Linked DNA regions of Cricetulus griseus. The protein of the gene in region 2 interacts with the protein of the main gene of each other region in a pairwise test. Links are inferred from orthologs where the notes say so. Each region holds a gene or a part of one and is shown on either strand. Other genes may lie near its edges. The genes, in order: Ribc2, Rad54b and Tceanc.

Region 1 (3,655 bases), about 260 Mb from region 2:
GCTGGCCTTGCCTCTCACTGGAACCTACAGCAAGAGAGCTGGTCCCACCCCTCACCACAGGTGAGGGTGAACTGACCCTGAGGGCATGCATGTAGGGGAGCTGACTCTAACAGAGGCAGGTGGCCCCAGTGGCCCAGACTGACCAGCTCAGCTACCACCCAGGGTCTCAGCCAGGCCTTGGGTTGGCTCACCCTAACATCTATCCCATCTAGGACCTCTGAAGCTCATGAAGGGACTGGTCCTGTGGATCAATACCCAAAGTATCTCCATGACTCGGGGCAGCCACAGGATATCCCAGAGGAGTTCCAGTGAGGATCCAGTGAGGATGGTGTACTGGAAACCAGAAGCCTTGAACCAGACCAGTGACTCATTGCAATGAACATGTGCCAGTCAAGCTGATGGGACAAAGGGTATACTGTATGACACACTGAGGCCCCCAGTGTTACCAGGACAAATGAAGAGGAGTTGGAGAGGTGGGAAAGGAGAAACAAAGAGATTTTGTTGTTGTTGTTTTGTTTTGTCTTGGTTTGGTTTTTGTTGTTGTTCTTATTTTTGTTTGTTTGCTTGCTTGCTTTGTTTTGTTCTCTTTTGGAAGGTTGCTGCAAGGCTGAGGGGAGGATATGGGGGGACTGGGAGGTGAGCAGAATCGGAGTGCATGATTAATTCCCAAAGAATTAATAAAGAAGTTTTTTTGTTTGTTTTTTTTTTAAGTTTCACCCTTCCCAGTCCCTGCAACTTATATGAAGTTTACAGCCTAGTTGAGGGGCAGGCCAAATTAGATCTCACCTACCTCTGTTAGAGCTGGTGGTGTGAGCAGTCTCAACTTGGGACCCTTCAAAACTTAGGGAGCCCCGAGGAAGCTGCTATGTGCATGCTCTTTCCTTCAGACTGAGCTCAGGGTGCATATACCTGGTTCTTGTTGAACTCTTTCGTGGCCGCACAGAGTTCCTTTCTGGTGAAGTTTTCCAGCTTCTGCAGCTCTCTGGCTTTTTCATCAAACTTTAGTCTTGTCTGTGTGTAGAGGTCTTCTGCCAGGGGACAAGATACCATCAGCCTGAGTATGCCCACCAGAAGTACCATCTGTGGCATGGTGATTCACACTCATTTCTTACCATGGAAGAGAAGGGAGAGTGGGTTGGAGCGGGGAGAGCTACTGCCTCACAGGTTCTGGGAGAGCAGGATGATTTAGGTGTAGCTCATAGATCTTTGTGAGCAAGGGGTATACTTGTAATCTCTACAGACTGATGATGTCTGCTGTGAATTGGTGATGTCTGCAGCAGTCCTAGGGTAGATTAGTTAGACCTTGCTGACACTGGTCTATCAGATGGTTTCAGCCTTACAAAGGCAAGAAGCAGTAGGAACCAGGAAAAAAGGGCTGTAGAAAGAAACCAGACAAGACCCGTAGCAAAGAGTGCCAGGTCACAGACACTTGTGGAGCAGCAGCAGAAATTTGCCAGGCCAGTGAGGGGGACAAGGCAGGGTGAAATTGGAGGGTACCAGGAGTGAAGTAGAAAAGTTCAAAGTCAGAACAGGCTTCCAGACATGGCCTAGCACCATTATCAGCAGGCTATTGTTTAACCGCAGTGTCCCACACCCTCACCGAGGTACAGTGCTGAGATGCAATGGACATATGAAAAGTCAATGTTCAGCAGCATCTGCTTTCTCTACTTGTGCTCAGAGTGGCTCCCCATTAACTCCAGACACAAAGCGCACACTCCGGTGCTGGCGATGCATAGCCTCACACACAATAGGCAAGTGCTCTACTACTGCACTGCAAGGCAGTCCCAAAGGCCCAGACGCTTTAGCGTTGGCTTTCTGGTCTCTGTACACCTTCATCATCAGCTTACTCTTCTTCTGTTAATCTGTCATGTACCAGATAGTGATCAAGAGCCTAGACTGGGTCCCACATTTCTCAGGGCACACACAACACAAAGGTGAGAAAAGGGGGTTCAAAGCACACAACCCCCCCACCCCCCCACCCCGCTCAAATAGATATACAAAGTATGCTAGTCCATTGAGGAAAGGGAGGATGAGATGAAAAAGGAAATGCTGGGAATTCTGGATAGGGAAGTTGGAGGGTAGGGACCAAGAAACTGCTTTTCTAGGAGGACATGTTTATCCAGAGCTGAAAGACTAAATGGTCAGGGCAGGTGCAAAGGCCCTGAGGTGGGAGAGACATGAGGGAATCCAAAGTGAAAGAGCCAATGTGTTTGAAATGCCCTGAATGAGGTGGAGATATCAGCTGATGTTCTCCAGGTGGGCAGAGGCCTAACATGTACAGTCTATGCGCTGTCTCTAAACTCATTCCACATCCCACGAAGACATTAGATATCTTTGAGCTAGGATGAGGGCATGGGTGTGGCATGGTTCAACGTGACATTATTTGAGAAGTGTCATTCTGCCTGACATGTTAGGAATGGACTAGAGGTGGGAGTGAACAGTTAGAAAGCCACTAGCAGAGGTCCATTCAGGGAGAAAATCTGATGTCTTGTCTCAACAGTGGTGGCCAAAGGATGACGAGAAGTGGACAGTTCAAAGAATATGCAGGAGGTAGAAGGGGCACAGTTGAGGATAGTTGAAGATGGGGTCAGGATTGCCTCTCAGATCTCTGGTTGGACAGGCAGGGGAGGCTGAAAGAGGAGCAGATCCAACAGAGAAACCAGGGAAAAGAACTGGCCTGGAAGGCAAATCCAGGGGGCTGAAGCTGAGAACTGACATCGGAGAGGGGAGCATGAAGACCGTGGGCCAGGCCGGTCACAGCAACTTTAGTGGACAAGGAGGACAGAGGAGGGAGCTGAGAAGGAAACCATCAGAGGAACCCGAGCTGAGCAAGGGGACTGAATTAACACAGAGACTGGAGCAGCTGGGGAGGGCAGAGCAATTGCTCCCACTTAGCTCTGGTTTGCTCTTCCCAGCAGCTCTTCCCGGTTCAGTCACTAGTGACCTGCTCAGAAGACCAGAAGCTGCTGCAAGTGCCTGCCAAGGAGGGGCTGATGGCCTCTATGGAGGCAGAACATACTGCTTTTTGTTGTTGTTCCCCATAGAGAGGCCCTTTCATGTCTGAATCCTGAGGCTCTCTGAATCCAGTGAGTCCTGATGAGAACCTGCTAGCACTGGGCCTGTGACTGGGCTCCCAAAGGAGACTTGGATAACCACACACATTTTTATTCATCTTCTAAATAGGCTGTGTCAGCTTCTGCCTCCAGGTTCCTGCTCTTCACGGGTTCTGGGTTCTACCCTCAGTGATGGACTGTGACCTGGAAGCTAAATAAACCCTTTCTTCTCCAAGTTGCTTTTGGTCGTGGTGTTTCATTCCAGCAATAGAAAGCAAACCAGGGCAATAGGAGTGCTCAGAAAGCATTTCCTGTACTGTGAAGGCACACCGGGAGATGCTGACTCCTGGGGCTGAGGTGTTGACTTTTGTAATGTTGACAGAGCTTTTAAAAGCACCCATAAAAACTGAGCTAGGGGTTGAGATAAACTTGTCTTCTCTTTCATTACCTGCAAGCTTGTGGTCAGCCCGCGCTCTCTCCCACTCTCTGTACTGTTGCAGGTACCATTCTCTGTTCTGCTCCTGTTGGAACTTCTTCCTCCAGTGGAAATTTAAATCCTCTCCAATGAACTTCTGCATTCCTGATATGCTGTTCCTCGGGTC
Region 2 (3,655 bases):
TGAAGCTTGGTTTTCATTTCTTATGTTGGAAGAACAAACTTCCATTTCCTCACATATAGAAAACATGGGCTACTTACATCCACATGTGGAGATGCTGTGATGATTAAAGTGTGTCTGATACAAAACAAGAGCCCAATACCCAACGACTAATTACACATCATCATATTTGATCTCCTAGGCATACATAATATGGACTTAATGCATAAATATTCCTACCTGGATGTCAGTAGCTGGATTCCAGTCAATATCATAGAGAATTAGGTGAGATCCTCCAATAAGATTAAGTCCCACACCACCAGCTTTTGAACTTAATAAAAAAATAAAATCAGTCGAGTATTTGCTATTGAAATTATCCACTATTTGCTGCCTTTGAGAGACTGGTGTCTGGCCATCAAGTCTGGCACAAGCATATCCATGGCGCTTGCATATGCCTTCTAAAATATTCAAGGTTTGTCTATAGTTGGAGACCAAAACCACTCTGTCAACCAAAAACAAAAGTTTGTTACATAACATTCTAAGACAGTATTTTGTTCTTTTGTTTTTTAGTTAAAGGAAAATAGCAACACTGATATAACAGAAGGAACAGCAACAGCAAGTAGAGTTGGGAGCAGTAGTTGTTAGTCAACTCAGGTTCTCTGGAAGAGCACTATGTACTCTTAACCAGGGAGCCAACTCCCTAGTCCAAATACCTTAAAACCTTGCCAAGGCTCCTCAGAAGGAAGGAGTTTAGAGTATCGGTACCCAGAACCCCAGGTCCCACCTCCATGTGACTAGGGTACTTGCAGAAATGTATTCTTTAGAGAAAGTAAACCAAGTATACTGACACTAGGGAAAGTAGAGGCAGGGTACGGTAACAAGAACATGGGGGGCTGGGTACAGGGCTTACTTTTCGGTGGGACGAAGTTCGTGAATTGCTGCCAGGAGCTTTACCAACACTTGTAGTTTCCCAGACTCATTCTCAGAGAACTGGAGAGGGTCGTAACCAGTAGGGTACAGAGTCAGCAAGCCTTTGCATAGATTCATTTCTTCATTTTCATCACTTGAGCTAAATTCTTTACTCTGTTCAAATGTGAGTAAATACTGGTTCATGTTTACTGTTTTAATGGGAAGAAAAATGCCCAGATAACTGTGAAGTAAACCTTTCCAGGTCACAGTTACCACTTCTGAAGCATACCATGCCTCCTCAGAGTTTCTGGGCCTTTCCAACCCTGACATCTCCTATCAATACTTTACTCTGGTTCACTGTCCCCCTCCCTCCCTATTATTTTTCTCTTTATTTGTAGGTGGCTCACAGCATCTCCCAAATTACAAACTAAAACAAGCCAAGTTTCCTGAGTCATAAATCATATCAGTTTCTTCATAAGTAATGATGTCATCTGTAAGCTAACAGAGCAATTTATCTTACGACACATTTGGGGTGGGGGATATGCTCTCATTGAACCCAGGGCCCTATTTATGAAGAGACTCAGGTTACTTTATTCTAAAATGATCACAAAGCTGTCTCTGCTTCCAGAGCGCTGAGATTAAAGGTATGTGCCACCATGCCGGCACAATTTGGTTTGTTTGTTTTTGTTTGGTTTTCTTTTTCTTTTTTCACAGTATTTCATACGTGGCTTTATTTAACTGAGTACTGTATATATTTTTAACTCCTCTTACGATCATGCATGTTATATTCTTTTGTAGCAAACAAACCTTTCTGGGCACATATTCAATTGTAATTTGGCTATTGACACATGCACACAAAATATACTTAGGTCAAGTCACTTGATAGAATATGTCAAGTTAGATCTACATAAGATACCTATAATCTGAAGAAGTCTTGACCCAGGGTTTAGTTGAAATAATTTAATATGCTTACACTGTAAAGAATTGATGATTTGGGGTAGACACACACATTTATATACAACACATACACAAATACACACACAAAAAAATGCAAAAACATTCTAAATTAAGTGACATATTCTGAGCCATCATAATTTCTTCCTTTTAAGGAAAAATTTTTGGCTTCTATTCTTCCTGGGCTTCATGTCCAAAAGGTTTAATTTTTACCACTTGTATGTAGAATCTGTTTTTTTTAAGTTGCTTAATAAATTATTATAATCCAGCCTTCTGCAGAGTTACATAAAGCTCACTTCTATGATAAACTAAGTAAATAAGATCCATTGTAGAATGAACTTGGAGAATTCTATTAGAACACTCCATTTTTTAAATATACAATTAATGATCTCATACATAAACTAGCACCCACAGTTTTTGTTAGGAAGGTTATTTGGGAACATATTTTGATTTTACTGCTTAAAGAACTGAATAAAAGTTTTCCATGATGAGCTGGAAATACCATTAATGATCATTGTGCAACTTTTTTAACCAGGCATTCTGTTAGGTTCTTCCCATAATTTCTTGTAAAATTGTCATAATGGAATAACTGTCATGAAACAATTACTTGCTCCAAATTCCAGATAAGAAAACCAATGCTCACAGATACAACTTAAGTACCAAATTTAACAAAAGTTAAAAAAAATTAGGGGCAGAGAGTGGTGGTACATGCCTATAATGCTAGCTGTTGGGAAATATAGGCAATTAGAATCAGAATCCAGGGTCATGCTCAGCTACATATGAAATTCAAGGCCAACTTGAGCTGCACGAGATGCTCTCAGAGCAAAAGAACTACAGGTACAATTTTAAGGAACATATACCAGTCCTAATCTCAAGAATTCTTACCATGTTGCAGACTGCCTTATAGTCATTAAATATGCAAACAGTTGGCTCAACTAGTCATCATTCAAAATCACACTTATAAAAGGAATCTAATTTGAGAAATGTTCTAGAATAAGATTATACACAAAGATCTCTCAGTCTCCTCCAAGACAAGTTTCTCTGTGTAGCCGTGGCCATCCCAGGATGTGCAACGGAAATAGAGATAGAAGCTGAGCACAGTAGCAGATGCTTCTTGTCCAACTATTCTGAAGCAGGAGAGAAGCTAGAGCCTGAGAATATAATACCACTTTTTATATTGGACAAAACAGTAAGATGCCCTTAACAAAAAAGGGGGGTGGGGAGGGTCAGATGATTGTAATCATACTTATTACAAATAGTTTGTGAAGAATAAATAAAATAAAACCAGAAAAGCACTTCATTCTTGGTGTACAGAAAATACTTAATAATTATTAGACATTCTATAACAGAACCACCCAGGAGGAGCCACTGAGCATTTGAAAGCCTCACAAATGCCACTCCAGGGCTGAGCATAATCTACCTTCTGGGACTCCAAAGCCACATAGCCCTCATCTCAGGCCTGGCAGTTTCCACGGGACTCACCTTCACAGAACTGAACAAAAGGCAAGGGTGATTGCACAGTTTCTTTAGGGCCCCTATGCAGATGAGATGAGTGCTATTTTCCAACAGGCCTTGAAGACAAAACCTGACAGACTGAGAACTCAGCAGCTTCCGGTAAAGTTCAGTCTGCAGTGCTACTGGTTGGCAAAAGACGACGTTCTCTATCTTTGGGGGAAGGTATTTATTGATGACTTCCTGAGTTCTTCTGAGGATGAAACGTCCAGTGAGGCAGCTGAGTTCAACTGCTCTTCTCTCTCCTAACTCTTTTTCTTCCTGTGGGAAAAAGAGCAGACTTAAAAAGTGGTATGCACAAAAA
Region 3 (3,336 bases), on a different chromosome or scaffold from region 2:
TGGATTCTGTGTAGGAAGCTCTCAACTGCTTCAGTTCCTCATTTGCCATGTCCAGGACAGTCATTTCAGCAAATTCTCTTGCAGACATGGTTCCAGAGAGCAACTTTTGTTGTAAATGAGAATTCTTGGGGTTGTTCAAATTGGCAACTTTGCTTCGAATACAAATTTTGTATTTTTTGATGTTGCTTGAATGAAGGGTAAAAATGTGCTCTTCAATTTCTCTTGCAAGGTTCTGCCACAAATGAGTTTTTGTGTAATCTGTAGAAGAACTAGCTAATGCCGAGTAAAGAAGCTCTATGCCTTTAGATCTAACAGACACTAGGGATTCTTGTAACACACCTGAGCTCTTGCTAGTGGATTCAGAGTCACCACCCCCCAAATATTCTTCGTTAATTTCCATTTCAGTGATGCTACTTTCAGACCCAATTGCTGCTGCAGCAGCAGGAACAGCAGGAACAGCAGCAGCAGCAGCAGCAGCAGCAGCAGCAGCAGCAGCAGCAGCAGCAGCAGACTTTGCAGCATCCTGGGGTACAAGCCTAGAGAGAGACTTGCAAAGACCTGATATTTCATCCTGGCTCGAAACGAACTCCTCCTCCTGGCTCACATCCTGAGAACTAGCTGTACCTTCTTTATTAACATTATAATGGAGTGATTTAAGGCTTTCCTTTGTTTTGTAATGTGTACTCTTATAGAAAGCTCTCCACTTTGCCAGTAGACACTTGGCCTTCCTTTTCAAAGTCACCGAGGGACAGTTTTTGAGGACTCTGTATACAGCTCTGACTATATCTGTCTCCTGGAGATGCTCCTTAGACACATAAATCATTTCAAGCTCAGTAAGCTCTTTGGCAATATCCTCAAAATACCTTTTAGACACCAGCTGCTCAATCAGGGAAGCCCTGGCAATGATATGTTTTCTTTCAGCCATCTTCACAGCTGCAAAGAAAAAAAAAAAGACGGTTCAATCTTTTAAAGTTTGCCTTTATTAATTGCAGCTCCTGCCAGTACATTTGATATTTTCTGAAGGAGTAATGTGATATAAAAGTGTGTGGTGGTGTGGCAGATTAGATAATACAACAATGTGAAATAGTCAACTTTCAATACTTTTATTTTCAATAGCTGAAGGAAAAAAATGGCTCTGCAAAGTTTCAGCAGAACATTCAAAGCCTTGCTAGGATTATCAGCTAGGATTATCAACTTTTCCACCTCCAACTGTACAAATAAGTGCCTTTCTAGATTAAAATTATTCAGGAACCTAGCATGGTAATGTATGCCTGCAATTCTAGCACCTGGGGATAGAGACAAAAAGAACATGAGTTTAACACAATCTTTAGGTACATAGAAAATTTGAGGCTAGCCTGGAATACATGAGACCTTGTCTAAAAAAAATCAGTTCATCTTGGGTGGAATTTGATGATCATGTTGGGAATAAAATCATGCTCATGTAAGCATCCATAAGACAATGCTAAGCAAATACTGGGCTATTTTTTCCTCATATTCAGTTATGAGACCGAGATACTTAATGCCTTTATAATCTTTGCAGTGATACTTTTCTGAATATAAAAAGGAAACAACAAAAATGGGGATACTGATATCTGAACCAATGTAAAGAAACAGATATTACAGGTTGGGAAGCAGGGCTGCTGAACCCTGAAAGTCAACAGAGTACAATGTGCTGACACTGAGGTGCTGGAAAAACAGGGTCAAATCCAGATGACCCACTTATTCTTTATTTGGAAATACTTTTAGATTTACACAAAAGTTGTGAAAAAAGGATACCAGTATTTCCTTTATGCAAACTTATATGCCATATAAATGTATTTTTAAAAATCCCCTATTGCAGGGTCTTTTTTAAGTTTGAAGAAAATTCTTTGTGTGGAATTCTACATGTATGGGTGTTTTGCCTATCTGCATGTATGTCTTTGCATCACATATATGACTGATACCTGTGGGGGCCACAAGAAAATATCAGACTGGAGTTATAGATTGTTTTCCTTGCAGAGTTTGCTTCATTAACTCTCGTGTGTGTGTGTGTGTGTGTGTGTGTGTGTGTGTGTGTGTGTGTGTGTGTGTGTGTGTGTGTGTTTTCTTCTGCTTAAAGTCCTTCAGACATTCCCTTCTACTCACAGGATAGAGACTAGGCTCTGTCCATGGGATGAATAGCACCTCAGCCTGGCCTCTGCCTTGACTACTCTAAACCACAGACAGGCATGGTTCCATTACGCAGTTGTGCCTTTGCTACAGCAGTTCCCTAAACCTGGCCTCATGCTATCACCATGGATGCTTCTTAACCCTGACTGTATATTAGAATCATCCAAGGAAATCAAATAAAATCTAAAGCAAACAACCCCAGGGCCTCACCCCAGATAGAATGAACTGGAGTCTCGGAGGGTAGGACTTGAGCATTTGTCCAGTTCTCCAGCCAATTCGGATTTAAACCACACACAGGAATTCACCTTTCCAACCTACCCCACCAACAGGTTATCATTAGTTTCAAACAGAGCTGCAGTCCTGCTCCTTCACTGAATACACTGACCTCTCTAACTTCACATTATGTTAAGTAAGTCCCATTACATAAGAAACTATTAAAAACACTGCTGTGTACAATTCAAATTAGCATCCTTTGCATTGTAATATAGTAAATGTTGTGTTGTATATGATTCCTGATAGTCTCTAATACTTACCTCTGAACAGTGGAAGGCAATGGACATTTACTGAGTAAGTCTATGGTGCTATTCACGCTCAGGTTACCTCAGTCTTCACAATAAGCCTGGGATATGAATTTCATCTAACAACAGAAAATCAGTGAAAAACATCAAATAACTACAGTGTTTTCATGTTTACCATATTTAAAAACATTTTTGTCTACATTTCCCACATTTCCCTTGAACACACCTACCAAACAGCTCCCGAGATATGTTCTTCTGTTAAACAAGTGGCAAAGTTTCCAGGATGCTTTCTCTCCTTTCAATTTGTGAGCTTCTTGTCACTATGCAGCAACTTCCTTTTACCCACTCACTGTATCTAAGTCCTGGAAGACAAAGTCCACCTCAATTCTTTAAGAAAATCATTTAAAAATCTTCTATCATAAAACTAGAGAGGGGATATAATGAAAAGAGAGAGGGTGAAGAGAGGGTAATGGAATACATGTGACATGAAAGCAAAAGGGGTGTTATCTGGGGCAAGGAAGGGAATCTGTCAGAGGGGGAAGAGAACACGGAGATGGCAGTGGATGAGGGAGATAATTAGAATAAAATATAATGACTTCTACAAATAAAAATGCCATAACAAAACCTACTATTCTGAGCCGAGTGGTGGTGCACACCTTTGATCCCAGCA

Evidence for each region.
Region 1: the proteins of Rad54b (region 2) and Ribc2 interact in a two-hybrid assay, tested with the Homo sapiens proteins (2 studies listed by BioGRID and IntAct). The two-hybrid records come from large-scale screens. The link is inferred for Cricetulus griseus from reciprocal best matches to the Homo sapiens genes RAD54B and RIBC2.
Region 3: the proteins of Rad54b (region 2) and Tceanc interact in a two-hybrid assay, tested with the Homo sapiens proteins (2 studies listed by BioGRID). The two-hybrid records come from large-scale screens. The link is inferred for Cricetulus griseus from reciprocal best matches to the Homo sapiens genes RAD54B and TCEANC.

Annotation. Positions count from the first base shown.
Region 1 is NC_048595.1:381,969,435-381,973,089, reverse strand, and holds part of Ribc2 (RIB43A-like with coiled-coils protein 2), read right to left. Parts: coding exon 3,502-3,655; intron 1,029-3,501; coding exon 910-1,028; intron 1-909. UniProt on the Homo sapiens protein: Microtubule inner protein (MIP) part of the dynein-decorated doublet microtubules (DMTs) in cilia axoneme, which is required for motile cilia beating.
Region 2 is NC_048595.1:125,733,865-125,737,519, reverse strand, and holds part of Rad54b (DNA repair and recombination protein RAD54B), read right to left. Parts: intron 3,613-3,655; coding exon 3,322-3,612; intron 1,060-3,321; coding exon 887-1,059; intron 479-886; coding exon 217-478; intron 1-216. UniProt on the Homo sapiens protein: Involved in DNA repair and mitotic recombination. May play an active role in recombination processes in concert with other members of the RAD52 epistasis group.
Region 3 is NC_048604.1:101,286,508-101,289,843, forward strand, and holds part of Tceanc (transcription elongation factor A N-terminal and central domain-containing protein), read right to left. Parts: intron 3,029-3,336; 5' UTR 2,893-3,028; intron 2,786-2,892; 5' UTR 2,682-2,785; intron 934-2,681; 5' UTR 926-933; coding exon 1-925.